Linked DNA regions of Macaca fascicularis. The protein of the gene in region 1 purifies or fractionates together with the protein of each later gene. This does not show direct contact. Links are inferred from orthologs where the notes say so. Each region holds a gene or a part of one and is shown in the gene's direction. Other genes may lie near its edges. The genes, in order: LIN28A, UPF0488 protein C8orf33, DDX50, TRIM71, DKC1, CDC5L and SSB.

Region 1 (3,500 bases):
GTCTCACTCTGTTGCCCAGGCTGGAATGCAGTAGCATGATCTTGGCTCACTGCAACCTCCGCTTTCTGGGTTCAAGCAATTCTCCTGCCTCAGCCTCCCAAGTAGCTGGGATTACAGGTGCCTACCACCATGCCTGGCTAATTTTTTTTATTTTTAGTAGAGATGGTGTTTCACCATGTTGGCCAAGCTGGTCTCGAACTCCTGACCTCAGGTGATCCACCCGTCTCGGCCTCGCAAAGTGCTGGGATTATAGGTGTGAGCCACCGTGCCAGGCCCTCTGTTCTATTTTATTAAGAACTTTAGGCCGGGCGCGGTGGCTCAAGCCTGTAATCCCAGCACTTTGGAAGGCCGAGATGGGAGGATCATAAGGTCAGGAGATCGAGACCATCCTGGCTAACACGGCGAAACCCCGTCTCTACTAAAAACACAAAAAATTAGCCGGGCGAGGTGGCGGCGCCTGTGGTCCCAGCTACTCGGGAGGCTGAGGCAGGAGAATGGCGGGAACCCGGGAGGCGGAGCTTGCAGTGAGCTGAGATCTGGCCACTGCACTCCAGCCTGGGCGACAGAGCGAGACTCCGTCTCAAAAAAAAAAAAAAAAAAAAAAAAAAAAAAGAACTTTAAATTCTTAATTTAATAGCTATAAAATATCATGGCATCTGCTTATATAATTATGATTTTTGTTAATGTACTGGTAGACTTTTGTTGTTCGTAATTGTAGTGACTCTGAGTCAGTTTCCTTACCAGTAAAATAGGAGTACCATCACATTTGATTCCTGCCCTACAGGAATAAGTGCTCCTGGTCTTTCGGTGTAATAATGGAAACTAATGTTATTTCCCTTCACCAGAGTAAACTGCACATGGAGGGGTTCCGGAGCTTGAAGGAGGGTGAGGCAGTGGAGTTCACCTTTAAGAAGTCAGCCAAGGGTCTGGAATCCATCCGTGTCACCGGACCTGGTGGGGTGTTCTGTATTGGGAGTGAGAGGCGGCCAAAAGGGAAGAACATGCAGAAGCGCAGATCAAAAGGAGACAGGTATGGACTGGAAGGCAGCTTTTAGGTTGCTGGAGCATCCCCAGTCTCCCAATCCTGTCAGTTTTGGGTCACACAGCAAAACACGAAGGGAAGCCTGTGGTCCCTGGCAGCATCTGGAAGGCTGAGTGCCTGCAATAGGTGTGGGCAAGGGCAGTAGGTGAGGAGGGCACTGGGGGTGACTTAGTGCTTCTACTTGGGACAAGTAAGTTTGCTCTGTGGGCTCTAGCCTCAATTGTTAAGTGAGGCCAGTGATACTAACATCCTAGGATGGTTTTAGAATTAAAGGAAATCATGGATTTGCAAATGATGCGACAAGATAGTATTATCTGTATCTGTTGTTGCTTTACCAGGTCTGCAAATGGCGGGTTTCCTTAATCTTGTTTGGTCTTTTTTTTTTTTTTTGAGACGGAGTCTCGCTCTGTCGCCCGGGCTGAAGTGCAGTGGCCGGATCTCAGCTCACTGCAAGCTCCGCCTCCCAGGTTTACGCCATTCTCCTGCCTCAGCCTCCCAAGTAGCTGGGACTACAGGCGCCCACCACCTCGCCCGGCTAGTTTTTTGTATTTTTTAGTAGAGACGGGGTTTCACCGTGTTAGCCAGGATGGTCTCGATCTCCTGACCTCGTGATCCGCCCGTCTCGGCCTCCCAAAGTGCTGGGATTACAGGCTTGAGCCACTGCGCCCGGCCATCTTGTTTGGTCTTAAAGCCCCTTAGCTCTGAACAGATACTATAATTTGGCTTCTTTAATTTCTCTTATATTAAGGGTATGGAAGAATCTCTCCTATCCTCCAAGTTGCAGTTCCCAGTTGGGGTCAGTAACTTCTATTTCTGGTGTCTTGGTATTTTCAAGTTGACATGAATCTGAAGAGATCACCTAGACAATTAGATGTGGAAAGGACTTAAGAGATCATTTAGTAATAGTCCTCCTTTTGTAAGTGGGAAGTTTGGTCTCTGGGAAGGGAAGTAAGTGACAAACCTGTACCACAGCCAAGGTGTCCTCATTCATGGGAATCATCTGGCCTCTTCTTGCTCCTTTCTCTTACTTTTACCATCTTGATTTGTACTAGGTGCTACAACTGTGGAGGTCTAGACCATCATGCCAAGGAATGCAAGCTGCCACCCCAGCCCAAGAAGTGCCACTTCTGCCAGAGCATCAGCCATATGGTAGCCTCATGTCCGCTGAAGGCCCAGCAGGGCCCTAGTGCACAGGGAAAGCCAACCTACTTTCGGGAGGAAGAAGAAGAAATTCACAGCCCTGCCCTGCTCCCGGAGGCGCAGAATTGAGCCACAATGGGTGGGGGCTATTCTTTTGCTATCAGGAAGTTTTGAGGAGCAGGCAGAGTGGAGAAAGTGGGAATAGGGTGCATTGGGGCTAGTTGGCACTGCCATGTATCTCAGGCTGGGATTCACACCATCACCCTTTCTTTCCTCTAGGTGGGGGGAAAGGGTGAGTCAAAGGAACTCCAATCACGCTCTGTCCAAATGCAAGTGAGGGTTCTGGGGGCAACCAGGATGGGGGAATCACCCTGCAACCTGCATACTTTATCTGAGGCTCCATTCCCAGAATTTCCAGCTTTTGAAAGTGGCCTGGATAGGGAAGTTGTTTTCCTTTTAAAGAAGGATATATAATAATTCCCATGCCAGAGTGAAATGATTAAGTATAAGACCAGATTCATGGAGACAAGCCACTACATTCTGTGGAAGGGAATCTCTCAGGAGTAAGCAGTGTTTTTTTTTTTTTTCACATCTTGTATCCTCATACCCACTTTTGGGATAGGGTGCTGGCAACTGTCCCAAGCAATGGGTAATGATGATGGCAAAAAGGGTGTTTGGGGGAACAGCTGCAGACCTGCTGCTCCTGTGCTCACTCCTGCCCCATTCTGAGCCAATGTGATTTTATTTATTTGCTCCCTTGGATACTGCACCTTGGATCCCACTTTCTCCAGGATGCCAACTGCACTAGCTGTGTGCGAATGACGTATCTTGTGCATTTTAACCTTTTTTTCCCTTAATATAAATATTCTGGTTTTGTATTTTTGTATATTTTAATCTAAGGCCCTCATTTCCTGCACTGTGTTCTCAGGTACATGAGCAATCTCAGGGATAAGCCGGCAGCAGCTCCAGGTCTGCGCAGCAGGAATACTTTTTGTTGTTTTTGCCACCATGGAGAGCAACTATTTGGAGTGCACAGCCTATTGAACTACCTCATTTTTGCCAATAAGAGCTGGCTTTTCTGCCATAGTGTCCTCTTGAAACCCCCTCTGCCTTGAAAATGTTTTATGGGAGACTAGGTTTTAACTGGGTTGCCCCATGACTTGATTGCCTCCTACTGGAAGATTGGGAATTAGTCTAAACAGGAAATGGTGGTACAGAGGCTAGCAGAGGCTGGGCCAAGTGAAAGGCCCAGAGAGCAAGCCAAGATTAGGTGAGGGTTGTCTAATCCTAGGGCACAGGACGTGTTTTACATCTCCAG
Region 2 (4,019 bases), on another chromosome or scaffold:
ATTACAGGCGTGAGCCACCGCGCCCGGCCAATCTGCTGAATTTTGGGGGTAATCTGCCACACTGCAGTAAATAACTACCAGCGATGACCAAACTTTTACCCTTCCAGACCTTGCAGACCAGGCAGCTAACACTTCCCATCCCACGGTCTCAGGAAACACCACTTTCCACTCCTGTGTCCCCGACAGGAATCATCAGACAAGTCGAACTCTCACCTTCTCAAGCAACACAACCCACCCTCCTGGCCTAGCCCGCTCCTGAAGCCTCACTCAGTCTCACCTCAGCCCCTACGCAATTCCTCTCAGTTGTCAGGCCTCCATCGGCGGGGGTCGAGTGTTGTGTGTGACCCCAGGTCTCCAGCAAGGTATAGTGGGAGGGAAGCATCCGGGAGAAGAGAGGTGGATTGGCCTCTCCCTCTCCCCCATACCGCCACCCTCCCTCACGCCCATATCCTGTCCAAGGCTCTTCCCGCGTCTGCTTCTGAAATCCCTCCACATCCCTCCACCCCATGTGCCCTACTCGTTGCACAGGAGCAGAGAGAACCGCAGAACACACGTCTACGATTATGCCACTCTTCAGATTTACATCTTGCAGCAACTTCCCACTGCGTTAGAACGGAAGTAAACCTCCCAACTCACAGACCTCACCCGAGCCCCCACGTCCCGCGTCGCCGGCCTCTCAACCGACGGTGCCCTGATCCTCTCGGAGCGAGCGCCGCGGGCTGCGCCGGGTCCCAGGCCTGCGCCTCTTCCCCATTTCCCAGGGGTCTTTGCCGACCACCCTCCTGCGCCACAGCTGCTCAAGTTCTGTTTACTTGCTTTTCCCTCCCCACCAAAAGGTGAGCCTTGAGAAGACACACCCTTGTGTAGAGCTTTGAACTTTTATCCGGAAAGGTGCCGGGCACATAGTCGGTGCCCGGGAGCACTTGCGAGACCGCCCTGCAGCCTCTTTCCGGATCCCCCAGGCACCCCCGACCCCGGCCTCGCCCCACCCTGCCCTCGCCCCAGCCCCGCCCTGCCCTCGCCCCAGCCCCCGCCCCAGCCCCGCCCCGACCCTGTCTCAGCTTCGCCTGGGCTTCATCCCGCCCCAGCCTCGCCCAGCCCCTCCTCTCCTCTCCCCGCCCGTCCCCTTCCCGCCCCCGCCCCGCCTCGCCTAGCCCCGCCCCAGCCCCGTCCCAGCTTCGCCTGAGCCAGGTCCCAGCCCCGTCCCACCTTCGCCGCGCCCCAGCTTCATCCCGCCCCAGCCTCGCCCCTTCCCCTCAGGGCCCCCGCGCCCCGCCCCGCCCCGCCCCGCCCGCGACCCTGCGGAACCTAGAGTCGCAGGCGCCCTCTTGGAGGACGGAATTCGACGTCGGACTCCGCCTCGCGTAGTTCCGGTGGCGACTGCGGAGCATGGCGGTGAGCGGTGTGGAGAAGACGCGCGGGTGGCTGGGCGTCGCACTGTCGGTGGCCCTCCGTGACCCTCGTGCTGCCCCCCTTTCTCCAGGCCCTAGGACATCTTGCCGGGGAGGCAGCGGCGGCCCCAGGCCCGGGTACTCCCTGCGCGTCCCGCAGACACCGGCTTCCCGGCCTGGTTTCCAGCGTCCGGAATCCCTCCACTGTCTGTCTCTGCCCAGGGCAACCCACGAGCAGTAACGCCGACCCCAGAGCGCACCCGTTAGGCGATGAAGGCAGTGCAGCGTCGAAAAAACAAAAGAATAAGAAGAAAACCCGGAACAGGGCCTCTGTGGCAAATGGAGGCGAGAAGGCCTCAGAGAAACCCGCCCCAGAAGAAGTGCCCCTAAGCGCTGAGGCCCAGGCAAGGGCGGGCGTCAGTCAGGAAGGGTGGAATCCCCTAGTGCGAATCCACGGGCACATGTGATCTGGGGTCCGCAGAGTTAAGGCGGGGAGGGGGATGGGATGGGGCCAGGCGCTGTTTTGTGTCCCAGTGCCCTCTCACAGCCACTTCCCCAAATCCGTCACAGGCGCAGCAGTTGGCCCAGGAATTGGCTTGGTGTGTGGAACAACTGGAGCTTGGCCTCAAGAGGCAGAAACCCACCCCAAAACAGAGTAAGGGACCTTTCTATAGAGTTGGGGAATGTGAAGAGTGGCACCGCCTGGCCTGCAGGTGCTGGCAGAGGTGAAGTTGTTTCCTTTGCGGTGGGGCGGTAGGAGGTCAGTAGTAGAGGTTTTCACTAGTCCTTTGTTTTTATTCGCAGAAGAGCAGGCTATTGGAGCAATCCGAACCCTGCGCAGCAAAAGAACGCCCCTGCCCCGGAAGAGGCAGTTGATGCACTCCTTGTTTGGAGACTATAGGGCTCAGATGGAAGCCGAATGGCGTGAGGCCCTGCGGGCTCTCAGATCTGGTGAGGAGCTAGTAACTGGTTGATTTAGGAAGGCCTAATTTAAGGAGGAAGTGCCTAGGGGGTGAAAGGAAGAAGGCCCAGAGCAACAAGGCTGGTGGGGGAAGGAGATGAGCTCAGGGAAGCCTGAGGGAACAGGGAAAGAGCAAGGATGGACCTGTCTCTCCTTTTCCCAGGACTGAACCTGGGAAGCAGCGGGGAGGTCATGGGAGGAGCGGGAAAGAGTGTGACCCTGTGTTGGTCCTGCTCCTGGCTTGGGGAAAGCTGCGTTATGTTTTTGTGTCTTGGCTCTCTCTACTGGCAACGAAGCCATATCCCATAACAGTTTGAGTGCAATTCCTGGAGCCAGATGAGCTAGGTTCAAATCCTGGATCTACCACATAGTAGTACTAACACCTTTTGCAAACTACTGAACCTCTCTAAATGGGCGGTGATAGTAATATCAACCTTACAAATTTGAGGAATTAGTTAATTTATTCAAAGTGGTTAGAATTGTATGGGCAAACATAACTGTACAGGTAATGTTAGCTGTTGTTATTCAGTTCTCACATACGCTGCTTCTCTCCCCTGACAGCTGCTTATTTAGCCCAGGTGCAGCCTGTAGATGGAGCCACCAGAAAGAAGAGCCGAAGGGTCTGCAGGCCTCGCCCTATAGGGCGAAGCAAAGCCACTCTGGACACTCCTGATGAAGAGTTTCGGTTCAATTTCTTTTAGCTTCTCCCCCGACCTGGAACATTCCCCCTCCCTTGGGGTGGTGTAGGGGTTTGTTTTGAGTGCAGAGCCTTTTCAGGACTTCTGTTGGCAGAGAACCCTGGGGTTGGTCTGTCCCTGGCTGGTCCAAGTATTTAGAGCTGTTGTGAAGGTGTGAGACCATCAGATAGGCAAAAGACCCCATTTGTTTTGTGATGAAATGTTCTCTCTTTCAGAACAGAGAGAGGTGCATTTAGAAAATATACAATAAATTGAAGTGACTGTTTGAAGTATTGTAGAAAGAATATTGTACTCAGTCTTTAGGATTAGATTAAGTGGCTGTTGGTAACAAAGATTAGTGGAGAAGCTATATAATTATACACTGTTTTTCACTTTTGAAAGGAATTCCTGTCAAATGGTTTAGTGCTTAATGCTGTTATGTCACATTGCCCTAGTCTTTATTTTTGATAAAATTGGATAACGAGTGAAAGAGTGTGCTGACCACCTGTGTTAGAGGAAGTACAGAAGACGGCAGGGGTCTGGTTCCCTGGGTCCAGTCCCTTGCCTCGATCCTTTGTCCATGTTGCCTTCATTCCTGAGCAGGTGTCATCCTCAGGGAACCAGCATGGCAGCCACCAGGCATGGCTGTCTTCTCAGGAGGAAGGAGCTTCTTGCCCTAACAGTTCTGGCCTGAGACCTGGATTGAGCCTCGGCATGTTGGAACCGAACTGTCGATTCCCTCCTGGGCAGGGGTTGCCGCGAAGGATTACCGACACGAGATTCACAGCAGAGAGTTATTTATTACTAGCGCGCTAGGGTCCCAAGCTCTAAGTTGGCCCTGGGACCCCGACTGCTTGTTACAGGTTGTTTATATAGGCAAACACAAGTTTAAACACAGCTTATGGCGTGAAATTTAAACAAAGCTTAAGGCACAAAATGATTGGGTCTACCTATGGCCTGAGCAAGGTGTTTTATGCTAATTGGTTAGAG
Region 3 (4,047 bases), on another chromosome or scaffold:
ACCTAACAATTTGTAATTTTGCTAGGACACAGTTTGATGCTTAGGTTTTAAGGCGGTGTGCTAGACGTTATCAAGAGGTTTATGAGTAGCCCTGTGTCTCCATTGGGTTGAGTAGCTGGGTTGAAAGGATCATGAAGAGATGAAGAAATGACTGTGAAAAGGCAACTAGCTAGCCTCGGTGATAGTAAGCAAAGGTATACAAACACACTAAGGAAGTTACCATTTGTATTGTCAAAGGTTTCAGTTTTGTGTAAGGTGATTCACGGGCAGTTAATCCCCATCGCTAAAATTAAATCATTTTTTACTGCAAATAGATACTCTGTGGAAGACATTTTGGCTCTTTCGGCTAGCAGAAAATGTGAGGCTTCTTCGGGTTTTTCCTGTAGTTTCATGGGAGCATCTTCCCCAAAACACTGCAAAACAAAGTTTTCAGGTTGATGTGGCAGAGAAAGCACTGATCTCGGCTTCAGGAGCTGAAGTCCCTGGTCCTGACTGTGCCACTAACAGGCTGTGGGACTTCAGACAAATACATTCCTATCTCGGGTTTCTTCTTAGGTCAAATGGACAGCGTGAGAAGGATCACAATGAACCAGTGACCAACTTCACGATTAAAACCTAAGACTTCAGGGACAGACATCTGTCCGTTCCCGGCTATACCTCCGACCCATCTGGCCCACCGCAAACTTCGAAAACCCAGTCTCCACCGTCGCCAGGCCCGTGGCCTCGCGCTAAGCCGTTGGTCGTTAACATCTCCCCCGCAATGGGCGGGGCGGAGGGCTTCAGCTTCCGGCGGCAAATAGCGAGGCGGCGCGTGGCGGTGCCCACTGGCCTCAGCGCAGACCTGCCCACGCACCCGCCCACCGCGCGCCGGACAGTGTCTACCCACGTCGAAGGGCTTCCCAGCCCCAGCAGTGAACACTGGGAAGCCCCCTTCCCAGCCCCAGCAGTGAACACTGGGAAGCCCCCAAAAAACTATGCGGGGCCGTGGAGACCAGTTCGGAGTGGGGGAGGGGAAGATAAACCGAATTATTTATGCTAACCAGTGCGTGCTTTCCTTATGGAGATTGGCCAGGGCTTTACTCTAGTAGCCAATCACTTCACAATAAGGGTGGGCCAGTTGAGATCTCTCACACTCATTGGTTCAGAAGTTGCGGCGCAATGGAAGGACTTAAACTGAGAGTATCCGGGATTATTTTTCCCCGCCGCGCGGTGCGTGTCCCGGAAGTGACGCACGGCCAAGGCCGGGCGGCCGCCCTGCCCCCGCTTCCTTTCACGCTGTCGCTGCCCGTAGGTGGTAGTGGCCACTGTGCCCCGAGGGAGGCGGCGGTGGCCAGTAATGCCTGGGAAACTCCTGTGGGGGGACATTATGGAGCTGGAAGCACCCTTGGAGGAGTCCGAGAGCCAGAAGAAGGAGAGGCAAAAGGTGCGCTGAGCATGGGCCGCGCCTCCTTTTGGGCTGCGCCGGCTTGGGCGGGGAGGGGAACTGTCTGTCCCTGATGATGGCCTGTCAGAACCGGGCCGGAGCATCTGAGGGCCTCTCTTCGCGCCGCCCTCGGCCCTCTGAGGTCGCTCAGGGACCATTTCCACCTCCATACTCCCGACCTGGATAAAGATGGCCCTGGGCTTTGGGCCTCACCCCCGCGTGGCCCCTCAGCCGTTCCCGTTGGCGCCTGAATCTCAGAGATGGGCAGACTCAAGCTCGCATCACCGTGGAATCTGTTCTTTCTCTCCATAAGCAGTGACGCCTGTCATTTCGTTCTCATTGGCCCTCTTAGAAGATAATTAAGAAAAAATGATTGCTTTGAATATGTGTTGCTTCTGTCACTCTGTCCCCTGTGCAAGAATCCTGGGGAAAGCGATCTTAGGTTTACAAACCTCCATAACTATAGAGGCTTAAGGAAAAGTGTGACGGTGAGCCTTGCCAGGATTTGTCAGTGATGGAGATCGTGTGGGTTGCATTATTAATAGCTTTTACGGTCAGTATTTTCATTCAATCCGCAGGTGTTTATTGAACCTAATTTGTACCATACTCTTTGCTGAGCACCAAGGAGGTTAAACTAAATAAGTAAAGAAATAGTCCCTGCTCTCAAGGAGCCTGTAGAGGAGTTGTAGTCTTTCCTCCTCCCACCCCCATGGCCTCCAAAAAAAAAAAAAAATAGGAAAAGGAAAAAACATCCTGAAACACTCAGAGGATCACAAGGTGCTGAAAAATGCCCAGGTAAAATTATTACTGGAGACACTTGACCTGGAAAAAAGAAATCAGCTGAAGAGGCTAAGGTGGCAGTATTCGGAGGCTGACATTCAACCAAAGAATGAGACTTACTTGTATAGCCTTAGAAAGCAGAATCTACCTCTCTGACCTTATCACTAAGGTAAACTTGCCATTCCAGCTAACACTTTTCTTTATTGTGCTAAAATATACGTAACATTTATCATTTTAACCATTTTTAGGTATATAGCTCTGTGACATTAAGTATATTTACATCGTTTTGCAGCTGTCACCGCCATCCATCTCCAGAACTTTTCATTGTCCCAGACTGAAACTCTGTGCCCATTAAACACTCACTTCTCATTCCTCTCTCCTTCCACTCCCGGCAACCACCATTCTACTTTCGCTCTGTGAATTTGACTACTGAAGGTACCTAGAGTGTAAGCAGAAAACCAAGCAGGTATTTTTAAAAAGGCTTCTTTTGAAATTCTTATGTTTTGCATCCAAATCCTGTCCACCCGTCAAGGCCTAGTTTATGTCTTTCCTAACAACCCTAGTTTACAGTTACCTAGTTTCAGTGGCTATCTTTATCATTTGATTGATATTTATTATGCATTTCTATGTAAAATTAGTTCATTTTTCCTATATTATGCCACATATTTCCGAAAAGTTCTTGAGGAAAATGACCAAATCGTTTTCCATCCTTATGTTTCACTATATTGTTGTAAATTGGTGGCTTTCACATTGTAAATTCTCCAGAAATACGTGTTGACAGCCCTTTAACTATGAAATATAACCAGAGATTTGGAAATGGATTGGAATACCAGCTAAAAGAAATGGAGCATTAGAATACTGGTCTGGTGGCTAGCCGCAGTGGCTTATGCCTGTAATCCTAGCACTTTGGAACACTAAGATGGGAGGATTGCGTGAGCCTAGGAGTTTTAGGTAGAGTTTTGTAGAAACCCTGTCTCTACAAAAAATGAAAAAATTAACCAGGCGCGGTGGCTCATGCCTGTAATCCCAGCACTTTGGGAGGCTGAGGCAGGCGGATCACCTGAGGTCAGGAGTTCAAGACCAGCCTGGCCAACACAGTGAAACCCTGTCTCTACTAAAAATGTAAAAATTAGGCCGGACGTGGTGGCTCTGTCCTGTAATCTCAGCACTTTGGGAGGTTGAGGTGGGTGGATCATGAGGTCAGGAGATCGAGACCATCCTGGCCAGCATGGTGAAACCCCATCTCTACTAAAAATACAAAAAAAGACCAGGTGCAATGGCTCACGTCTGTAATCCCAGCATTTTGGGAGACTGCGGCAGGTGGATCACCTGAGGTCAGGAGTTTGAGACCAGCCTGAGCAACATGGTGACACCCCGTCTCTACTAAAAATACAAAAATTAGCCGGGCGTGGTGGCAGGCGCCTGTAATCCCAGCTACTCAGGAGGCTGAGGCAAGAGAATCACATGAACCTGGGAGGCTGAGGTTGCAGTGAGTCGAAATCGCGCCACTGGACTCCAGCCTGGGTGACACAGCCAGACTCCATCTCAAAAAAAAAAAAAAAACCCCAAAATTAACTGGGTGTGGTGGTGTGTGCCTGTAATCCCAGCTACTCGGGAGGCTGAGGTATAAGAATTGCTTGAACCCGGGAGTCAGCGGTTGCAGTGAGCCAAGATCCCACCATTGCAGTCCATCCTGGGCAACAGAGCAAGACTCTGTCTCAAAAAAAAAAAAAAAATTAGCCAGGCATGGTGGCAGGCGCCTGTTAATCCCATCTACTCGGGATGCTAAGACAGGAGAATCGCTTGAATCCAGGAGGCAGAGGTTGCAGAGAGCCACGATCACA
Region 4 (3,500 bases), on another chromosome or scaffold:
TTCCATTTCAGCTTTGGTCTTCACATGGCTTTGTTCTCTGTGTATCTGGGTCTGCACATGACCCTCTCTGGATATCAGTTTTGGGATTTAAGATTCAACTTAATCTACTATAACCTCATCTTAGCTAATTATATCTACAAAGACCGTATTTCCACACAAGGTCACATCCTGGCCCCCATTTAGTTGAGCCCAGAGTTTGGAGGGACAGTGTTTACCCTGACGCAGCTACCTAGTGCTTTGGTAAACACGATTATGGCTAGAGATGGGCAAATATAAAATTTATAGACTGTTCTGCTAATTGTTCTGCTAAATCCCAGGTGTCATAAGTATCATGGGCTTTGTACTTAGCTCCTCCTCTGATTGATATGTAATGGTACTTGAGACAGGATTGTAAAGGTGGAGCAGAAAGGTTATAGAAATATGCTGTTCCCTTCCAGCTTCAGAAGGGAAGTGGCATCGGAACTGGGTTTGGAAATTTAGGGTGAAGCATTCCAGGCTGGGGACAGCCTGTGAGCCCTCTGGATCTACCCAGTTCCCCTGTGAATCAGTTCAGTGGATCCTTAGGACACACAGGATCCTCTTAGGCAGGGAATGCAGTGTGGCCGCTAACCATTGGAGTCATGGGTGGTGTGCTTTTTGTTTTGTTTTGTTTTGTTTTGTTTTGTTTTGTTTTAAATAGAGACCAGGTTTCACCATGTTGGCTAGGCTGGTCTCAAACTCCCGAGCTCAAGTGATTCGCCTGCCTCGCCCTCCCAAAGTGCTGGGATTACAGGCGTCAGCCACTGTGCCCAGCCACCATGAGTGTTTTTGGGGCTGTACCTTTGAGCGTGTCTTGCATGCCATGAATGTGTCAGCTCTCATCCAGACTGAGTCAAACTGTTGGGCAGGAAGAATACTCATAAAAATAAGGTAGATTGTGTATTGTATGATGATGCCATCTATATGAAATACCCAGAACAGGCCAGGCGCAGTGGCTCATGCCTGTAATGCCAGCACATTGGGAGGCCTAGGTGGGCAGATCACTTGAGCCCATGAGTTTGAGACCAGCCCAGGCAACATGACAAGATTCCCCCATCTCTATTAAAAAAAGAAAGGAAGGAAGGGGTGGGGGGAGGGAGGGAGAAATGCTCAGAACAGATTTGTAGAGACACAGTAGATTAGTGATCGCCATGGTGGAGAAGGAGGGAAGTGGAAATGACTCCTTAATGGTTATGGCCTTTGCTTTTTGGGTGATGAAAATGTTCTGAAGCTAGGTACTGGTGATGATTACACAACACTGCACATACTAAATGTGACTCATGGTAAATCTTATGATAGGAGCTAAGTGGCCTGACGAGACACAATGGCTGAACTTTTGTCCCAGGTGTTTATCAGATGAGAACTACTAATAACAGTGTTTTACTCTGTGCCAGGTGCTGAGCTCAGCTCAACCCATGCATTGCTCTGCATTTCCCTCACATCTCCCCTTTACCAAGGTTGGAGAAGACCAGGAGCTTGTCCGAGGCCTTACAACTAGTAAGAGGCCCTAAACTAACCCAGGATTGGAACCTGGGTTACCTGACTCCAGGGATGACTGACTAGCCTGGTTTGCCTAGGACTGTCCCAGTTTTAGCACTGAAAGGTCCATATCCTAGAAACCCCTCAGTCCAGAGCAAACTGGGTGACTGGTCACTCTGATTCCTAAGCCCATGCCAGGCTCCAAACCCGTTGTGCTTCCCTGACACGCTCCTGATTGGATCACCTGCCCTGAAACCTGTTGCACCAAGAGCAATCACTTTGGAATCCCTGATTTAATACCTCGGTATCTCAAAGAAATCCTTGTGGCTTTTCAAGACACAGCATGTAATATTAATGAAAACACCATGCCTTCTGTCTGGATTAATTTTTTATGAACAATAATACGTCTGATTAAACTGGCTGATTTACTAGGGCTGGTACAGGGTGACGTGTATGGTGACGTGTAGATGGTCTCTGACCACGGGGCACAGCTTCTTAGGTAGATCGGGGGATATTCCCAGTGTGCACTTGGCGTTCGTTCTGGCTGAGATGAGCTGTGTTGCCAGTACCTTGACAAAAACAGGATGGATTAGCCACTAGTCTATCGCACACCCTCACGTGAGGGATGGGCCTGGCCTATGGGGTTTTGCCCAGGCAAGAGAGTGAGGCAGGGAAGTCTGGGGAAGCCACTTGTGTGGCTGGAGTTGCACATTTTACATCTGATCCTCCTTCCCCATTTTCGGCTGTCACCCAGCTACACTGGTTTCACTGTGTTAGAGTATCTCTTAATAGTTCTGACATTCACTGTGTAGGTGCCATTTCTCATGCAAAGAAATCCAGCTCTTGCCAGCAACTCCTTTAGTTACATGTCAGAGAGATGCCAGTCTCTCCCTAAGTGCCTGTTTTCCTTCCAAGGGAGTGAATCAAGTGGTCTGGGAGCCCGGGGTGTCAGCTTTTCAAGTCTGGCAGAGCAGATTCAAATGTTTTGTATAAGGAATGACAGTCCTTCTAATGCCTCGAAGTTGTTTTTTTTTTGTTTGTTTTTGCAGCTGAGCATCGAGCAGGCCCAGACGGTGGCAGAACAGGTGGAGATGAAGGCGAAGGTTGTGCAGTCGGAGGTCAAAGCGGTGACTGCGAGGCATAAGAAGGCCCTGGAGGAGCGTGAGTGCGAGCTGCTGTGGAAGGTAACGGAGCACTCCCCCACCCACGCTGTGCCCACTTGGCTTCCATGAACCCCAGCAGCGCTCTACAGGACTCTTTTCAGATCCAGGAGCCAAGCTCTTAAGTGTAAAACATTTGGTAATTTTCCAGAAAGTCTGTTGGCAGAAAGATGCAGGGGGTCCCTGGAACATTGTGGGTGCTGTGTGCGGTAAAACAAGAAGGGTTTTCAGAAGTACATGGGTAGCCAAGACTGGAAGCGGTGAAGCGGTCTCCAGTTTTATATTGCATTCACTCAAAGGGAGGCTAAAGAAGGGAGCATAGTCAAAACTGTTGTTCAGAAAGGCAGGCTGGTAGGAAGCATCCCTATTTTCGGTGACCTGGCTGGTTGCACTTCCTGATCTCTTGTGGAAAACCAGTTTTCCTCTTCGGAGGCAGTGAGTGTGTGCCCTTTCTTCCTGTTGGAGCAGGAAGGAGTGCCGAGCACACCAGTGTGCGGTTTAGATAAAAATCAGCTGGAAGGACTACTCGCCCCACCCAGGCCAGCATTCCAACTGTTCCTTTTCTGATTTTATGTCCCCGCTCAGAAAGGAGGAGAGTTATGTCTATGAAAGGGCCAGTACTCCATGCCAGTTCTTTAGCTATAATTACATTCTCTGAACACATGAAAAAGGCTAGAGCTGACTTAAAAGAGTATCCTTGTGGAGCGTGCCTGTTTCCATCTCCAAACAATATGATGATGGTGGGCATGGGCCTCAGTTTCTGCAAGTGACCTTTGCTAACTACTGTGCCCTACACTGTTCTGCAAGGCATCGCTGGATTTTGCATTGCATTTTCCATTTAGT
Region 5 (3,500 bases), on another chromosome or scaffold:
TAAATACTGAAAGATGGCACCATAATAGTTGAAAAAACTCAGTCACAAAACAGTGGACAACATAAATGTGATAACCTCTCCTTATCAAACCATTGGCTTCTGGGTGAATGTAAAGGGAGGGTCAAATGTGATCAGCAAAAGAGATCTAGGTGAGTGGAGATGGCATGAGGCAGATGGGTGCCTTGGGCACCATTGAACTTCTGGAGAGGAAGCCTTAAGTTGTACCTATTGATCTATAAATTCTGCACCAAGACTTTTGTGTGATTGGTTCAACAGGCCTCAGTAATCTTGTTTTCAAGTTCTTTAGGAGCCTGTTATTGCCTGGATCTCTAGTAAATCTATTCTTTCTCCTGATAAGGAGGAGAGAGGAGCAGTTAAGGAATGCCAAGGCTATTTTTATGTTTAAAATGAAAATACCGACCAGGTGCAGTGACTCACACTTGTAATCCCAGCACTTTGGGAGGCCAGGCCAGGCAAATTGCTTGAGCTCAGGAGTTTGAGACCAGCCTGGGCAATATGGTGAAACCCTGTCTCTATTAAAAATACAAAAATTAGCTGGGCGTGGTGGCGCATGCCTGTAATCCCAGCTACTTGGGAGGCTGAGGCACGAGAATCACTTGAACTCTGTAGGTGGAGGTTGCAGTGAGCTGAGAACGGGCCACTGCACTCCACCCTGGACGACAGAGGGAGGTTCTGCCGGAAAACAAAAAATAAAAAAATAAAATGAAAATACCTGTGAGTCTCTAGAACCTGAAAACCTGAAAGTCTTCTTTACGACTTTTAAGTCGTGTGTGTAAAGTGCAGAGAGTGGTGCCTAGCACAGTGAGGTGGCTGTTGCTCTTCTGAGTCCCTTCATGCCCCTTGCAGCTAGTGGGCTATCAGTGCCATCCCTGTTTCATGGTGTCAGACCCCACCCCCTTGTTGTCTTCCTTTACTCTGGTGTGGGAGTGGGTTGGAAGGCAGCAGCTGGGCCCCTCACACATGGTGCCATCTCTGCAGGTAAATGCTATCTGCTATGGGGCCAAGATCATGCTTCCAGGTGTTCTTCGATATGAGGATGGCATTGAGGTCAATCAGGAGATTGTGGTTATCACCACCAAAGGAGAGGCAATCTGCATGGGTAAGAGGGGATGTTTATTTTTTAAATTGTAAATGTTTGTGGTTACATAGTAGGTGTATATATTTATGGGGTTCATGAGATGTTTTGACACAGGCATGCAATACATAATAATCACATCGTGGAGAATGGGGCGTCCATCTTAAGCATTTCTCCTTTGTGTTACTAACAATCCTATTTTACTGTTAGTTATTTATCTATCACCTTAGTTATTTTAAAATATACACTTAAGCTATTGATTATAGTCACCCTGTGACTATAATCTATCAAATAGTAGGCTATCAAATAGTAGGTCTTACTCGTCTTGTTCATTCATTTGATTTTTTTGTTTTTGTTGTTGGTGTTTCGTTTTTGTTTTTGCTTTTTAAGAAGACAAGAGTCTTGCTCTTTCGCCCAGACTGGAGTGCAGTGACGTGACTTTGGCTCGCTGCAACCTCTGCTTCCCAGGTTCAAGCAATTCTCGTGACTCAGCCTTCCGAGTAGCTAGGATTACAGGTGCACACCATGACACTTGGCTAATTTTTTGTATTTTTAGTAGAAATGGGGTTTTGCCATGTTGGTCAGGCTGGTCTTGAACTCCTGACCTCAGGTGATCTGCCTTTATTTTTTTTTTTGTACCCATTAACCATCCCTACCTCCCTGCCAGCCTCCAACTACCCTCCCAGTCTCTGGTAACCGTTCTTTTACTCTTCTCTGTCCACGAGTTCAATTGTTTCGATTCTTAGCTCCCACAAATAAGTGAGAACATGCAATGTTTGTCTTTCTATGCCTGACTGATTACACTTAACATGATCTTCAGTTCCATCCATGTTGTTGGAAATGACAGGATCTCATTTTTTTTTAAGGCTGAATAGTATTCCATCGTGTATATGTACCACATTTTCTTTATCCATTTATCTGTTGATGGGCACCTCGGTTGCTTCCAAATCTTGGCTATTGTGATCTCTTTGATAACACTAATTTCCTTTATTTGGGGTATATACCCAGCAGTGGGATTGCTGGATCCTATGATAGCTCAGTTTAGTTTTTTGAGGAACCTCCTAACTGTTCTCCATAGTGGTTGTATCAATTTACCTTCCCACCAACAATGTACAAAGGTTCCCTTTTCTCCACATCCTTTCCAGCATTTGTCATTGTCTGTCTTTTGGATATAAACCATTTTAACTGGAGTGAAATGATGTTTCATTGTAGTTTTGATTTGCATTTCTCTGGTGATCAGCGTTGAGCACCTTTTCATATGCCTGTTTGCCATTTATTTATCTTCTTTTGAGAAGTGTCTATTCAAATATTTTGCCTGTTTTTTGATTGGATTATTAGATTTTTTTCCTATAGCGCCGAGTTCGTTATATATTCTGGTTATAAATCCCTTGTCAGATGGGTAGTTTGCGGATATTTTGTCCCGTTCTTATGCATATGGATATCTAGTTTTCCCAGCACCATTTATTGAAGAGACTGGTTTTTACCCAGTGTATGTTGTTGGTACCTTTGTCAAAAATGAGTTCAATGTGGCTGTGTGGATTTGTTTCTGGGTTCCCTATTCTGTTCCATTGGTTTATGTGCCTGTTTTTATGCCAGTACCATACTATTGTGGTTACTGTAGCTCTATAGTATAATGTGAAGTGAGGTAATGTGATTCCTCTAGGTTTGTTCTTTTTGCTTAGGATCACTTTGGCTAGTTTGAGTCTTTTGTGGTTCCATGTAAAGTACCAGTGTTTTTTAACTCGTGAAAGCTTAGCTACTGTTGGATTGTCTCTTAAGACTTTAAATGCTCTGCACCCTCTTAGCGAATGAACCTTAGAGCTATTCATTTAATGGGTCCAATATGTACCAGAAGTAAGCATGTCATCAGGATTCCTTAGCTCTGTGAGCAGGCAGGCCAGCCATGGCCTATGGACAGCAGCAGAAAAGGAATCCTTAAAACTTCAAAGGTTCTGTGGCCGCAAAGGGAGTGTGCATGCCATTCCTATAGATGTCTTGAGCTGCAAGCCTGTTATGTGTATCGTTAGGTGCTTTGGTTAGGTGTTTTTTAACTTGAGAAGTTTAACATCATTTCAGAAGCCTCCTTCTCATAATGGGGGATTTCTTCCATATGCATATCCTGAGCAAAGGAAACCCCAATTAAAGTAGTAGAGCTCAGAGTTTTGAAAGTGGCATACAACAGTAGAGTTGGGGCTCATCAATTATCAATTCTTTCCCCCTTCAAATAATTCTTTTCTTTATTCAATGCCTGTAGCTATTGCGTTAATGACCACAGCGGTCATCTCTACCTGCGATCATGGTATAGTAGCAAAGATCAAGAGAGTGATCATGGAGAGAGACACTTACCCTCGGAAGTGGGGTTTAGGTCCAAAGGTAAGTGGTACTGGGTTGCGTGCTCTGCCAG
Region 6 (3,500 bases), on another chromosome or scaffold:
TTTTAGGAAGAATGAGTAGGCCTGGAATTATCAGTGGGATGTGCTGGGGGAAAGGCTCAGGATATGCCAAGTTCCTGCTCAGGCTGCCTGAGGGGTACTGTTTATCTCCCGCATTAGCTCTCTGATGCAAGTTAGAGGCCAGGCTGTCAAGTAGCCACTGGAAGAGTATGTGGTTATAAACCCTTTCTGGAGAGAAAATGAGAGCTGCATGTTCCAGACTCTTTTCTTCACTGCTCCCAGAGAGTGTAGCCCTAGAAAGTATTTGCACACCTGTTTAAAACCACCTCCTTGTTTTCTGATCTAGAGAGACATGCATATGCTTAGTCTCTTCCATTACCAGATCTAGGAGATTTAGGATATAGTCCTTTGGGTAGATGCTGTGCAAATTGAGGCATTTGATGTGTGGATAAACTCCTTCTAGGAGGAATTGGTAGGCCTAGAGTTACTGCTGGGGCAGACTAGGGGGAAAGGCTTGGAAAGTGTCCAGCTGCTGCTTAGGCTGCCAGAAGGCTACTTTTGCACTCCACTGTCCCATTAACTCCCCATGCACGTTAAAAGCCAGGCTGTCAAGTAGCCACTGGAAGACTGTGCCATGAGCCCCTTCCAGGGAGAAATGTGGAGCTTCATGTTTTTGGCTCCTTCTCTGCACTGCCCCCAACGGGTGCAGTCTGTGAAAGTACTTGCATGCTTGATTAAAAGTATCTCTTTGTTCTAGGGATGTAGTGATCTAGGAAGACTTGCACTAGATCCCTCAGCTCCCAGAGCCAGGAGATTTAGGATGCAGGCCCTGGGATGGAAACTGTAAAAGTTGGGGTCTTGATGTGTGAACAGACTCCCAGAAGTACATTTTTGGGATATAGATGATGAAGATGGCTTGTAGCTAGTCCCAAAATAAATATGTTGAATGATAGCAGAAGTCATTTTCAGAAAGTAGGCATTAGTTTTTCCCCTACTGTGACATTCAAGCCCGCTTTGAGGTTCAGTCATGGGTCAAATTATTATAAATAGATTATAGATTATTTGGTACTCACCTATAAAACCCTTTAGGTGCAAGATAAATCCTTCTTAAGCTTGATTTTTTTTTTTTTTTTTTTTTTTTTACAGTAGTTGAGCTATAAGGAGTTCTAGTGTATTTTTGCTTTGAGGCACATGCATGAACGAATGGCACCTTTTTAGCCCTTTATTTAATAGCCTACTTTTCTCATGTATGCTGATGTGATCTTCCCCTGCTCTCCAGATAAACAGGGGTCACATGACGACAGAAGCCAAGAGAGCTGCAAAGATGGAAAAGAAGATGAAAATTTTGCTTGGGGGTTACCAGTCTCGTGCTATGGGGCTCATGAAACAGTTGAATGACTTATGGGACCAAATTGAACAGGCTCACTTGGAGTTACGCACTTTTGAAGAACTCAAGAAACATGAAGATTCTGCTATTCCCCGGAGGCTAGAGGTAACGTTATATATTGAAGCGTTGCTTTAAAAGAGTGCTGCAAAGAATTATCAGGGCTGTCCTCTTTTACTTCTCCTATGTAGGCTGTCTCTGAAGTTGGTACTGTCAGGCTTTTAAAAATGAGAGCCTAAAGTGTTTGACTTTAATCTAGAATTGCCTCTGTGTAGATGGATAGACTAGGCAAGTTGTAGATACAAAGGCCTTCCTTTACTCATGTTCTGTTTCATACGTAGATACACTGTGAAATGGAATACTTAGCCCTTGTAATTTGTCCCCTTGAAACTTGATCACATCCCATTCGTGTAGCTCTGTGAGGGGAAACTAAACCAATATCTTTCTGTTTTATAACTTAGGTGGCTGGGAACATAGCTAGTCCTTCCAAACCATCAAATTCCTTTGACCGGATTTGGATTCAATTTATCTCCCAAATGTGCATAATAGCTCCTGTCCAGCTAAAGGGCAGCCAGGGCTTCTTGAAGTGCATTTGTGGGTACTGATAAGACAGTAGTGGTTTGTTTATTTGAAGTAGCAGCAGGATTTCATATGACCAAATCAAAGAATGGCTGTGATACTGGTTTTATAGCAAAAGTATTTGATATGTTTGTTTCTCTTTGAGAAATTTTTACCTCTTAAGAATCATGATTTAACTCGGCTGGTTTTTAAGATAGTAAAGTACTGTAGATTTTTTTCAATATAGTTACATCTAAAAGAATTACTTAATATTTTTGTTTCTTTAAGTGTCTAAAAGAAGATGTTCAGCGACAACAAGAAAGAGAAAAGGAACTTCAACATAGATACGCTGATTTGCTGCTGGAGAAAGAGACTTTAAAGTCAAAGTTCTGAAGTACAGTTTATATTCTGTCACAGGATTAATTGCCGGTTTTCATACTCTAGAAGGCTGAAACTGATGTTTATCTTCATTGACAAATTTACCCACCATCTGTGGTTTTTTGGTTGTTTATTTTAAATGATATCGATCTTACACATTCTGTGTATAAAGACCTTAACTCCACAGGACGGACATTTTAGAGTTTAAATTATTAAGGCTGTCATTCTTTTAGCAATGTCATATTTGCAAACTTTTTTAGTTTTGGCCTTTAATTTAAAAAGCCTAATTTTAAAGTGCTGCCTGTGAGTAACTCTTAAATAAAAACAAAATATAAAAAATTGAGAATGTAGCCTTTTGTTTTAAGTAATTAGATACTTAAGAGTGCCCGCAAACCAGCAGCTATGTACTCTGTGTCATATTTAATGAGTAACTCTTGGGTAATCAAAATGGTGATGCAGTATCTTAAACACTTAAGAGGCAGTTCTTTGTGGCTTTGTTAGTTTCAGCAAAGAATGGTCATTTCTGTGTACACTGATGAGTTAGATTAACTTTTTAGTACCTCAAATTTTTTTAAAATATCACTTTAAAGAAGGTTTCTTCTCCTCCAGCTACTTAAATAATTTATGGGTCAGGGCTTAAAATATTTAATTTTCCTTGACCCATTATTTTCTTGTAAGTATTTTTTGACAAAGGCATTTTAAAAGTTAATTTCAAGAAGGCCATCAAACTTAAAGCTCTATGTTTAGCGTAAGAAGTCAGTTACATCAGTGTAGAATGTGGGGAATGGATAGAGGTGGAGAGATTTAATTTTATAATAATTCATATAAATTAATTTAGTGTACAGTATCAGTTGGCTATGAGCTCATTATAGGCCAGCAATGTTTTGAGATGACCAAAAACATTTGCCCAGTCTTAGAATACTAGGAACTATAGGAAGGGAAGGGATTCATTCATTCATTCATTCATCAGATATTGAATGTATACCCTGTGCCAGAGTTTTAGAGAGAGAACAATGAACAAAATAGGCCTAGTTCTTGTTTAGTAGAGCTTATAGTCTTTTGAGAATAACAGACAATTAAAATCCAAATGTTTATTTGGTGATTCTTATGTGTCAGACACTTACTTAAGTGTTGGAGATAAGCAGTTATTAAGACCGAGTTCTTGCTGTCATGGAGGTGACATTAGTGGGGAGGAGATACTAAATATGTACAGGGAAAGTAT
Region 7 (3,930 bases), on another chromosome or scaffold:
CTGAAATGGTAAGTATATATTACTGCTATCTAGTATATCTGTAATTCATAGTTAAATGAATAGCTTTTAAGTCTGAGGACTTTTTCAAGAAAATATGTAAGCAAAGCTATCTATAGTTGTCATTGCACAGGTATTATATTGAGGGAAAAGAGAACACTAAGGATAGGAAATATGTTCTAAAATACGAAAAGGCCGGGTGCAGTGGCCCACGCCTGTATTCCCAGCACTTTAGGAGGCCAAGGTGGGTGGATCACCTGAGGTTGGGAGTTCGAGACCAGCCTGGCCAATATGGTGAAATCCCGCCTCTACTAAAAATACAAAAATTAGCCAGGCGTGGTGGTGTATGCCTGTAATGCCAGCTACTCGGGAGGCTGAGGCAGGAGAATCACTTGAACCCAGGAAGTGGAGGTTGCAGTGAACCAAGATCATGCCACTGCACTCCAGCCTGGGTGACAGAGTGAGACCCTGTCTAAAAATAAAGAATATAATAAAACACAGGAAAATATATTTTGAAATATTCAGAAAAAGTTCATTTATGCCTAGAACTTATGTTTATGAGAAAATGTCCTCCTATAACTTCTAAAGATTCTAATCATAGATTAATACTTTTTTTTTTTTTTTTTGAGACAGAGTCTCGCTCTGTTGCCCAGGCTGGAGTGCAGTGGCCAGATCTCAGCTCACTGCAAGCTCCGCCTCCCGGGTTCACGCCCTTCTCCTGCCTCGGCCTCCCAAGTAGCTGGGACTACAGGCGCCCGCCACCTCGCCCGGCTAATTTTTTGTATTTTTTAGTAGAGACGGGGTTTCACCGTGTTAGCCAGGATGGTCTCGATCTCCTGACCTCGTGATCCGCCCGTCGTGGCCTCCCAAAGTGCTGGGATTACAGGCTTGAGCCACCGTGCCCAGCTATTTTTGACTTAATAAGATAGTGATGTGTATTTCCATTTAGAAAGTTACAGGTAAAATTTTTTATTTGGGGAAAATAATAATGACTCTTTAAAAAAAAATTTTTTTTTTCTTTTTTTGAGACGTCTTGCTTTGTCGCCCAGGCTGGAGTGTAGTGGCGCGATCTGGGCTCACTGCAAGCTCCGTCTCCTGGGTTCACCCCATTCTCCTGCCTCAGACTCCTGAGTAGCTGCGACTACAGGCACCCGCCACTATGCCCAGCTAATTTTTTGTATATTTTTTTTTAGTAGAGACGGGGTTTCACCATGTTAGCCAGGATGGTCTCCATCTCCTGACCTTGTGATCCGCCTACCTCGGCCTCCCAAAGTGCTAGGATTACAGGCATGAGCCACTGCAACTGGCCTAAAAAATTTTTAAAGTATGATAAATACTGCCTGGAATTATTTTCCAAGATAGTTTAATAACCAGATTTTATGTAGTTTATAACTAAATGCCAGTTGTATAAGAGATCAAATAATATTGAAAGCCATTTTGGGATAAAGGATGACAAAGGAAAACACCAACACTATGAAACTGCTTTATTTATTTATTACTATTATTTTTTTGAGATGGAGTTTCGCTCTTGCTGCCTAGGCAAGAGAAACTACTTTAAAATAGCATTTTGGTTTCTAGGCTCTTTCTTGTATAGCTATAATGTGGTGTGAGTCATTTATGGTCTGTTGCTTTTAAGAAACTTTTTGATCGCTTTGTATATTTTTATAGAAATCTCTAGAAGAAAAGATTGGATGCTTGCTGAAATTTTCAGGTGATTTAGATGATCAGACCTGTAGAGAAGATTTACACATACTTTTCTCAAATCATGGTGAAATAAAATGGATAGACTTCGTCAGAGGAGCAAAAGAGGTTTGGAAACATTCCTATGCTTTTTAGCAGTCAGTTTGAAAATCTGTAGAAACTTAGACAAAATTAGTAGAAAGCAATTTTTAAAATTGTGTTTATTAGTTTCTACTTGATCATTTGTTGTTATTGTCACTAGATGTGATGTCTGATATTTTCTGAATTATACTAGTTTCTACTTGATCATTTACTTTGTTGTTATTGTCACTATATGTGATGTCTGATAGTTTCTGAATTATACTATGAATAACTGTTCATATTGATTATTGCAGTTTTACTTCTGTAGCATTCCTTTTCTACTGTTCAGTAAAGTTCATTGAAACTGGTAAAGGCATGGAAGGTTTGCAGGGTAGAAAAAATTACTTTGAACAAAGAAATTAATTGTGGGACTAAAAAACTAAGGGTATGGCTTTTGTTTTCTGTCTCTGATATAGGGGATAATTCTATTTAAAGAAAAAGCCAAGGAAGCTTTGGGTAAAGCCAAAGATGCAAATAATGGTAACCTACAATTAAGGAACAAAGAAGTGACTTGGGAAGTACTAGAAGGAGAGGTGGAAAAAGAAGCACTGAAAAAAATAATAGAAGACCAACAGGAATCCCTAAACAAATGGAAGTCAAAAGGTCATTTATTCTGATTTTTCTTTAACAGTTTGGTTGTTGAACCCATTTACTTGAGCAAAAACTTTAATCAGTGTTCAAAAACATTGACAAGAGACTTAAAAAAAAATTCTTTACAGAGTGCTCAATTGTGTCTCTACAGGTCGTAGATTTAAAGGAAAAGGAAAGGGTAATAAAGCTGCCCAGCCTGGGTCTGGTAAAGGAAAAGTACAGTTTCAGGGCAAGAAAACGAAATTTGCTAGTGATGATGAACATGATGAAAATGGTGCAACTGGTAAGTTTTTTCCTAAGTCCTTTGGTAGTTTCATGAGAAAATTTGTACTTCCATAAATAAATGATTTGCCAGAGAATAGGGATTTGGCTTTTCAACTTCTGGATAAGTGCCATTCTTGGATTATTATGATTTACCTTGGTTATGCTGTTGTATAAGTCAGGGACAGGATATTTGGAAGATGAATCTAGAGGTCAGGTCTGTACTAAGAGAAAAGCCTTTTCTCATTGGTGCAAGGAAGTTGTTGCATCTTTTTCAACAGTATCATTATTAGTAATTGTACTCAGTATTAAAATAGAGCAGTACTTACGTTGAATTTAACAAAAATTAATTGTTACGTTATAGGACCTGTGAAAAGAGCAAGAGAAGAAACAGACAAAGAAGAACCTGCATCCAAACAACAGAAAACAGAAAATGGTGCTGGAGACCAGTAGTTTAGTAAACCAATTTTTTAATTCATTTTAAATAGGTTTTAAACTACTTTTGTTTGCGGGGGCTTTTAAAAGGAAAACCGAATTAGGTCCACTTCAATGTCCACCTGTGAGAAAGGAAAAATTTTTTGTTGTTGTTTAACTTGTCTTTTTGTTATGCAAATGAGATTTCTTTGAATGTATAGTTCTGTTTGTGTTATTTCAGATGTTCAAATATCAAAAGGAAGATTCTTCCATTAAATTGCCTTTGTAATATGAGAATGTATTAGTACAAACTAATAAAATATATGCTATATGAAAAGAGCAAAAACAGTTTTTTTTTTTTTCTTTTTGTACCCAGAGCATTTAATAAAGAACTAGAATATTAGCTGTTGACCATGGGCCCTTCCCACAGGCCATTTATGGTGTCTCCTAGGCTGTCTTTCTATATTTACACAGGAAAGTTGATAACACTAGAAATAATTACTTGTCATAAAGCTTTTCTTTTTTTTTTCTTTTTCTTTTTTGAGACTGACTCTCACTCTGTTGCACAGGCTGAAGTGTAGTGGGGCAATCTCAGCTCACTGCAACCTCCGCCTCCTGAGTTCAAGCGATTCTCTTGCCTCAGCCTCCCGAGTAGCTGGGATTACAGGCATGAGCCACCACGTCCGGCCCAGAAAACTTTTCAATACCGAATGTAGACCAGCCAAAATCAAGAGACTTACTGATTTCTTTTTATGAAACTTGTATGATGCTGGCAGGTCATATCGAAGCTCTGTAAAACAAAAGCCACCTAAGGATAAAATTATATTTCCAAGCATTTACCACCCT

The links.
Region 2: the proteins of LIN28A (region 1) and UPF0488 protein C8orf33 purify together in Homo sapiens (co-immunoprecipitation; 3 studies listed by BioGRID and IntAct, with this or other methods). This does not show direct contact. The link is inferred for Macaca fascicularis from reciprocal best matches to the Homo sapiens genes LIN28A and C8orf33.
Region 3: the proteins of LIN28A (region 1) and DDX50 purify together in Homo sapiens (affinity purification with mass spectrometry; 3 studies listed by BioGRID and IntAct, with this or other methods). This does not show direct contact. The link is inferred for Macaca fascicularis from reciprocal best matches to the Homo sapiens genes LIN28A and DDX50.
Region 4: the proteins of LIN28A (region 1) and TRIM71 purify together in Homo sapiens (affinity purification with mass spectrometry; 3 studies listed by BioGRID and IntAct, with this or other methods). This does not show direct contact. The link is inferred for Macaca fascicularis from reciprocal best matches to the Homo sapiens genes LIN28A and TRIM71.
Region 5: the proteins of LIN28A (region 1) and DKC1 purify together in Homo sapiens (affinity purification with mass spectrometry; 3 studies listed by BioGRID and IntAct, with this or other methods). This does not show direct contact. The link is inferred for Macaca fascicularis from reciprocal best matches to the Homo sapiens genes LIN28A and DKC1.
Region 6: the proteins of LIN28A (region 1) and CDC5L purify together in Homo sapiens (affinity purification with mass spectrometry; 3 studies listed by BioGRID and IntAct, with this or other methods). This does not show direct contact. The link is inferred for Macaca fascicularis from reciprocal best matches to the Homo sapiens genes LIN28A and CDC5L.
Region 7: the proteins of LIN28A (region 1) and SSB purify together in Homo sapiens (affinity purification with mass spectrometry; 3 studies listed by BioGRID and IntAct, with this or other methods). This does not show direct contact. The link is inferred for Macaca fascicularis from reciprocal best matches to the Homo sapiens genes LIN28A and SSB.

The regions. Positions count from the first base shown.
Region 1 is NC_088375.1:208,705,608-208,709,107, reverse strand, and holds part of LIN28A (protein lin-28 homolog A), read left to right. Parts: intron 1-845; coding exon 846-1,030; intron 1,031-2,094; coding exon 2,095-2,311; 3' UTR 2,312-3,500. UniProt on the Homo sapiens protein: RNA-binding protein that inhibits processing of pre-let-7 miRNAs and regulates translation of mRNAs that control developmental timing, pluripotency and metabolism.
Region 2 is NC_088382.1:154,739,079-154,743,097, forward strand, and holds UPF0488 protein C8orf33, read left to right. Parts: upstream 1-1,366; 5' UTR 1,367-1,389; coding exon 1,390-1,395; intron 1,396-1,483; coding exon 1,484-1,795; intron 1,796-1,961; coding exon 1,962-2,046; exon of another isoform or gene 2,047-2,116; intron 2,117-2,195; coding exon 2,196-2,342; intron 2,343-2,913; coding exon 2,914-3,053; 3' UTR 3,054-3,519; downstream 3,520-4,019.
Region 3 is NC_088383.1:77,534,481-77,538,527, reverse strand, and holds the start of DDX50 (ATP-dependent RNA helicase DDX50), read left to right. Parts: upstream 1-1,247; 5' UTR 1,248-1,336; coding exon 1,337-1,423; exon of another isoform or gene 1,424-2,372; intron 2,373-2,495; exon of another isoform or gene 2,496-2,669; intron 2,670-4,047. UniProt on the Homo sapiens protein: ATP-dependent RNA helicase that may play a role in various aspects of RNA metabolism including pre-mRNA splicing or ribosomal RNA production.
Region 4 is NC_088376.1:15,515,452-15,518,951, reverse strand, and holds part of TRIM71 (E3 ubiquitin-protein ligase TRIM71), read left to right. Parts: intron 1-2,546; coding exon 2,547-2,681; intron 2,682-3,500.
Region 5 is NC_088395.1:160,880,829-160,884,328, forward strand, and holds part of DKC1 (H/ACA ribonucleoprotein complex subunit DKC1), read left to right. Parts: intron 1-999; coding exon 1,000-1,120; intron 1,121-3,350; coding exon 3,351-3,469; intron 3,470-3,500.
Region 6 is NC_088378.1:127,068,972-127,072,471, reverse strand, and holds part of CDC5L (cell division cycle 5-like protein), read left to right. Parts: intron 1-1,237; coding exon 1,238-1,450; intron 1,451-2,188; coding exon 2,189-2,293; 3' UTR 2,294-3,500.
Region 7 is NC_088386.1:65,359,470-65,363,399, forward strand, and holds the end of SSB (lupus La protein), read left to right. Parts: coding exon 1-8; intron 9-1,665; coding exon 1,666-1,806; intron 1,807-2,234; coding exon 2,235-2,421; intron 2,422-2,560; coding exon 2,561-2,692; intron 2,693-3,034; coding exon 3,035-3,123; 3' UTR 3,124-3,188; coding exon of another isoform or gene 3,189-3,227; 3' UTR 3,228-3,430; downstream 3,431-3,930. Other genes in the region: rRNA N(6)-adenosine-methyltransferase METTL5, read right to left, coding at 3,189-3,227, 3,825-3,892. UniProt on the Homo sapiens protein: Binds to the 3' poly(U) terminus of nascent RNA polymerase III transcripts, protecting them from exonuclease digestion and facilitating their folding and maturation.